Bombyx mori: one gene and its partner. The protein of the gene in region 2 binds, or shares a complex with, the protein of the main gene of each other region. Links are inferred from orthologs where the notes say so. Each region holds a gene or a part of one and is shown on either strand. Other genes may lie near its edges.

The links.
Region 1: exuperantia (region 2) and ATP-dependent RNA helicase me31b share a complex: the UniProt entries of both Drosophila melanogaster proteins name them as parts of the osk RNP complex. The link is inferred for Bombyx mori from reciprocal best matches to the Drosophila melanogaster genes exu and me31B.

What each region holds. Positions count from the first base shown.
Region 1 is NC_085118.1:10,825,114-10,829,388, reverse strand, and holds the start of ATP-dependent RNA helicase me31b, read right to left. Parts: upstream 2,801-4,275; 5' UTR 2,640-2,800; exon of another isoform or gene 2,445-2,639; intron 2,243-2,444; 5' UTR 2,085-2,242; coding exon 2,020-2,084; intron 1,927-2,019; coding exon 1,845-1,926; intron 1,029-1,844; coding exon 822-1,028; intron 650-821; coding exon 478-649; intron 400-477; coding exon 249-399; intron 110-248; coding exon 1-109. UniProt on the Drosophila melanogaster protein: ATP-dependent RNA helicase which is a core component of a variety of ribonucleoprotein complexes (RNPs) that play critical roles in translational repression and mRNA decapping during embryogenesis, oogenesis, neurogenesis and neurotransmission.
Region 2 is NC_085134.1:3,230,557-3,233,295, reverse strand, and holds the end of exuperantia, read right to left. Parts: intron 2,574-2,739; coding exon 2,471-2,573; intron 1,368-2,470; coding exon 1,312-1,367; 3' UTR 528-1,311; downstream 1-527. UniProt on the Drosophila melanogaster protein: Ensures the proper localization of the mRNA of the bicoid gene to the anterior regions of the oocyte thus playing a fundamental role in the establishment of the polarity of the oocyte. May bind the bcd mRNA.

The sequences.
Region 1 (4,275 bases), on a different chromosome or scaffold from region 2:
TTCCATGAGATTTATTTCATAAGGTTCTTTCAAATGCTTTTCCATAAATTGTTTTACACTCAGAGGGAAAGTTGCAGAAAACAGCAAGATTTGGCGTTCCTTAGGTAATCTAAAATCCATCAATAATGTTTTTAATTCACACACTGTATTTGAAATTATGAGATGGCACATGACATTTATTTTGAGAAGCACTATTTAGCATTTCTTGGTCACTGAATTTGTTACACATGAAACTAACAAACGCTAACCTTGAAATAACCATATCCAGCATGCCCTTAAAGTCTTGTGAAAGAAGTTTGTCTGCTTCATCAAGAACTAACATCCGGCATTGATCCATTTTGGCCACCTGCTTATCCATGAGATCAATCATACGCCCAGGTGTGGCAATAATCACTTGTACTAGAAATAAAGTGTATATTCCATGAATATTTTCTATTTTGAAATTATTTCCATTTCAATTTGTGTATCTATATTTACCATTTTGATAAATACGCATTATATCATCTCGAAGGTTTGTGCCTCCTGTAGTAACCATTACACGAATGTCTGTGTGTTTTGCCAGTTCAATACAAATCTGTGATGTTTGGAGTGCCAACTCTCTAGTTGGTACAACAATTAAAGCTTGTATAGTATCCTTTTTAGGATCAACCTAAAACAATTCACTCTTGTAATTTCAATAATTACACAGTCTTGTTTTAAAACATAGTTTTTTTTAATCAGTTCTGTTTTGTCTCACTTATAAAAAGTGAAGGGGAATCCAAATATTTCATCATACATTAAAAACATAAAAATGAAAACTATTGTTACATATAACAAATTACCTGTTCCAAAACTGGAATACAATAAGCACCAGTTTTACCAGTTCCATTCTTAGCTCTTGCAAGTACATCTTTTCCACTTAGGGCAATAGGAATTGAGGCCTCTTGAATAGGAGATGGCTTCTCCCATCCCTTTTCAAAAATACCCATCAACAATTCTCGCTTCAAACAAAACTCTTCAAACTCATTGCCTCTAGTATCTGTGACATCCTAGAAACGAAATTTGATTATTATGTCCACTATAATCTAAATATATTCTTAAAATGATGTATGATGATGATCTATAAGAATGATCAATCACAAATATGATCTAAAAAATGAAAAATCAATATTTTATATTTCCAATAATCAGAATATACCATTGGATTTATGAGATTGCATAATTAAATAAAGCTAACTATATATGCTGCTAAGTGTTTTGAAAAATCAATAAGGAATACCATCATTACTATGTGGGCATCAAGAACTGAGGTACTCTTTGATATTAATTACTATTAAGGCAGACAATAGAACTCACCTAATTCATTAATAGTGTAGCTTAAAGACACAAAATTCTTTTACAATAGGATTAATTTTATTACAACTGCATTATAGACATGTTATGATAAAAAAAATCCTAAATAAATACAAAATGTTTAAAGTAGTAATTAATGTAGCATTGGAGCTATTTAAACAGAATTGAATTCTGTTTGTCAACAATGTATTAGATTGGAGATTGTAAAGACAAAAATCACTTATAATTAAATCAACCAAATACTTTTTCTTTTACTTTAACAGAATAAAACAATTCAAGAACTATACTTCCCCATAAATTTTATTTTTGTTTGTTGTTTAAAAGCAAACAAGCAAGCTTGTTGGAAATTTAAATTTTCAGTGTATAACTGGATTATTCGTGTATAACAATAATGCAATTGTAGAATACCACAAAATGTTCTAAAGTTGTTTTTAAATTGTTATATTTTGACTGTCTAAATTCCAATGACTATTGTATGTGGGCCGTAATTTCTAGTAACTAAGCCAACTTACACTAGTCTTTATTCTTCTGTCTTTTGGGGGTATTTTTAATTTTGATTTCCAACCAACGTCGTCGATGCTTTTGTCGACCTCTCTGAAAAATGCGTTTACATGATTAGAATATTGCTTCGTGTGATTCTACATGCAGTTAGCATGACAAAGGACATTTTATTAAATTTATACTTACCCTTTAGTTTGACTGATACTATTTCCGACGTGATTACTTGAACTAATTCTATTTTCGGTCATCATTTTGCCAAATTTATCCCTAGCTAGGGACGACTAAAATTAGAAACTTATAATCACACTAATTATTATTTGTCCAAGTCCAACACTAAATAAATTCTCTAAATCACTTTTAGACACGTATATTAGTCAGTTTATCACGTTCACCAAGTATTTCAGAATAGCTGAAACAAGAGGAACATATTTTTATATTAGATAAGTATATTAGAAAACCCGTTTCGGTCTTTTGAAAACGAAGATTACGAGACGCGTCAACAAGCTATATGACAAAGTAAATAAATCCCGTTATGAAGTGATTACTCGATAAGTTATTAGAACTAATAATGAGCTCAGTATATAGAAGTATTATAATAAATTAATGTTTACCAAAAGTTAAATGAAAAGGAGAGATTGAAAAGATAACAAAAGATTGTAAACTGAACTCAGTTATGTTTTTTTAATATGGCCGCCATCGCTTCGTTTAATTTTACTTTGTTTGTGAGGAAAAGACCTAAAAATTAATAAACTAAAACACTTCCAACTTTGAGATTAATACTGTTATAAAATATTGTTGTTAATTACCTAGATAAAAATTTAAAAAAGGTGACGACACTCGATACTCAACGACGACATCACAAGAGTTTACTCAACCAAAGACAATAATACACTTTTATTTTCTATTTCTGTATGTTGCTTGTTGCCTATGTTGGCTCCCTTGATTTCTTGAAAATATTTAAAACCATAAACATTTTTCTGGTCTATCTATTGTGTCCACCTAGTAAAAAGAACGTTACCTACACAAGACTTTCTTTAGAGTGTTTCTAAGCTTTAAATGGAAAAGTGCGATGAAATTAGAAATTATGTCTTCAGTATAATCATCAAATTATAGGAATTCGTAAAAAATCTAATTAATTTTTTTAACATAACCAGCTATTTCAATGCTGATGCACTTTCTCAGGCATTATTATGTTTTTATTCCACTAGTACAACAGCAAAATTATAAATTGACTAAATAAAACAGTTTTCAATTCACTGGTGGTATGGCGTATTATAAGCTCACAGGTGTCCTAAGTACTACCCAACTTATTTCTGGCACGAAAAGTTATGCCTTTTGACATGGAAGGTAAACTCAAGACTAGAATCTCGAGGTTTAATAATTTAGTGCTTCGTCGTGTTTAAGCGTTTAATAATGACATATTACAATTCAACATTTGTAAAAGTGTAAACAGTCTTTCACTTTAAAAAGTCCATTGAACTCTCAATAAATTCCTGCCATTTCACTGAGAGGTTATTTTTCATTTTACACAATAGCCACGCTATTTTTCAATCATACCTCATTTTACTCCATTTCATTTCATTCTAGAATGATTACATTTTTTTTACTTTGGTGGGAGGACGAACTCACGGCCCACCTTGTGTTAAGTGATTACCGGAGCCCATAGACATAGTCAACGTACATATAACCACCTACCTCAAGATATGAGTCCTAAGGTCTCATTTATTACAGTATGACTGCTCCACCTTTCAAACCGAAACGCATAGCTTTTTCACGACAGAAATAAGCAAGGTAGTGATACCTACCCGTGTAGACTCACAAGAACTACCTACCACTAGTAAAACCCACCGGTAGTAAACCCACCCAAACATTTTACTCTCAAACACAAAAAGCACTGTTTCCGCCTTTGAGTGAACTTGCGGGATTTGCTTTATTTTGCCTATTTAGTGTTTCTTCGGGCTTAAATGCGTAATAACGGTGGTTTACTAACTGCTTAGTATTTGTGAAAGTGCACAAATGTAGGAAAATAAAACAAAGCCTATGGACATAACTTCTCGGGATCCTCCAAAAAGTCCACTGAAATAGTTTCAGTAAATGGCCACCATTTTACTGAGATGTATATTTCATCCCATATCATCTCATCTCATCTCATTTCATTTCATTTCATTTCATGTTTCATATTAATTAATTAACTTCATTTTATTTCACTTCATATTATCATTTTTCATCTATTAAAATATATATATAAAGAATTAGGTTGTATGGTATGACACATTTGCCTTTTCATTTGGAAAAATAAAACTACTGTCACTGTCAATGTCTTATTGTCAATTGTCATAACATAGTACAAAAGTATGTTAAGATAGTGGTTAAGTTACATAGACCTATATAGTAGGGACACGACATATTGTTCTATACGTACAATTGCTTATATAAATAGCA
Region 2 (2,739 bases):
GTACCTACATACATTTAACCAATTATACAAAAGAGTCGACTATTATCAAAGCCGGCAATGTGACTTTTGGACAATTATTGGTAAATCAGAAAAACGAATTGATTTCGTATTCCATTGGCAGTCACAAACTCTTCTGAACGACATCTTAGATAAATAACAGGTTAAGTTAATACTTTATTTAATGCAGGTTTTGAACCGTATTTTTTGAAGGAGACGATTATATTCAAATCAGTCTGTATTGCCATATCAATAACATTTTTTTGTCCAAATGCACAGATTGCCACCTTTGATAATAGACGACTCAAATACCAATGGCACTATTTACGGTATAATGGTTTTGAAAATTATTTAAAACTGGAAAATCTTTGAGATTAGACCAGTCTCTTGTTTGTTTGTATTATGGGGGATCAATCACTCAAGCCAGAATGTATGAATATGTACTTCATGGAGAAATCGGACGTTACAAACTTACTTATGCAAACGTGCAAATAAAAATTAAGAGAGGTTTTCAAAATAATGCACAACAATTTTATAGACTTACATATTTATTAGAGATCTGAACAAAATAAGAAATTAAATTATATGTACAGTCTATGTTAAAAACTAACTAAAATTAACAGTTAAAAAGGTACACACTGCTTTATTACTCAGTGGTAAGAAACTAATATTTCCTCTATGGTAGTTTGAAAGAAAAACAGTCAGCAAAATGTTACCAGCGATTAGCGTAAAAAACAAAAAGAAGGAAAAGGTGTAAATAAAAAAATATAATCTTTTTTTAAATACATTTCGGATTTCGAATATCAGTCAATCCGTTGCTGTGATTGCACATTTTATTATTAATACATAATAAAAAAATAAATAAACAGGCGTTATTAAGAGCCCGAAATAAATATTGCTCCCTCTAAGCCTTTTTTAATTTAAAAAACCTTTTTTCAAACTACATGTTACAAGTAACATTAAATATATAAAAAACTGTATAATGCAAAAAACAACATACAGTCACTTAACTGTTTACACCAAAAAATATTATGACATACAAATATCTTATGACAAATGAGTTGCTAAGGCACTCAACTACATTATTATTTATATCTATATATAAATATTAAAAAACGCGAAAAGCCAAGGGATCAGTGTGAAAATTACGATTTAGTGGGTTTTTTTTTTTCATTAATCTCGTATAGACGACATGCATTATAAAAATGTTTCAATTCCAAAAAATGATACTTATGCTAAAATAACATACTGTTTATTATGCGAAAACGTTTTTAATTTGAGTCTTCGTACGCGCATGTTGCGATGAATCAAACGTTAGTTGGCCGCGATCGGCTCTTGTACTTTTAAACTGTTATCTCCCGCCGCTATATCTGAAAACAATAATATAACATTACTAGCTGACCTGGCAAACGTTGTTTTGCCATATATGTATAAGATTTCTAGAGTACTTCTAGTGTAGAAAAAAAAACTAACTTATTGTAAGTGTGTAAGGATGTGGTAAATGAGTGTAAAGGCATGTAGCGCTGTGAACGATGAGGGAATATAAAAATAATAAAACCTTATTAACCACATAATGCCTCATTATAACAAAAAAAAAATTGTCCAAAAAACAAAAAAAAATGTTAGAGGAGGACAACCCTTAACACTTAGGGGTATGAAAAATAGATAGTAGCCGATTTTCAGACCTACTGAACATGCATATAAAACTTCGTAAAAATCGGTCAAACCGTTTCAGAGGAGTATGGTAACTAACATAGTGATACGAGAATTTTATATATAAGATTAAAAGTCATATAAAATTAAAATAATTACATAATTAACATTGTTTTTGACAACTACCGGATGTAAAGGACATGGAGGAGAATAGCCTCATCCAGAAGTATGCCAAAGACCGGCCTAAGTGGAGGAGTTAAGTCTTTTTTTTTTTTTGTCCTTGTAGGCAGTCGAGCATACGACCCACTTGATGGTGAGTGGTTACCGTCGCCCATAGACTTCAGCAATGCCAGGGGCAGAGCCAAGCCACAGCCTACCGTAAAAGCAGACCCTGGCACTAGACGGGAAAAATGTTAGGAAGAAGAATAAGTACTGATTCCCAAATCCCAAAAAGTCTGATTTTAACAAGGTTTCAAATAAGATAGACGTTGTTGGTGTGATGAAGCCATTTTACATTAATTTATGAAAGTTTCGACATAGTATTACTGGTGGTAGGACCTCTTGTGTGTCCGCACGGGTAGGTACCACCACAGCCTATGTCTGCCGTGAGGCAGTAATGCGTTTCGGTTTGAAGAGTGGGGCAGCCGTTGTAACTATACTGAGACCTTAGAACTTATATCTCAAGGTGGGTGGCGCATTTACGCTGTAGATATCTATGGGCTGCACTAACCACTTAACAACCAGGTGGGCCGTGAGCTCATCCACTCATTTAATGAAAATAAAGATATTTTTTCAAATGATTCAAATGATTACTACATACCATTAGTTTTGTTGGGCGAGTTTTGCGATGAACTATTCTGCGAATCACTGGTGCTCCCTTCAGCGTCTCCACTTGTATTGTTAGTATTGGCGGTCGATCGAGGCTGCGGAAAAAGTTGCACTATAAAATATTTTCAGGCAAAGCTTGATATACCTTACTTAAAGTTTAGTTATAAAATAACTAGCTTTTGCTCGAGCCTTCGTCCGCGTGGAATAGTTCACAAATAATGCTTTATCTTAGAACAAATTTGGTTAGCATAAAAAACGTTA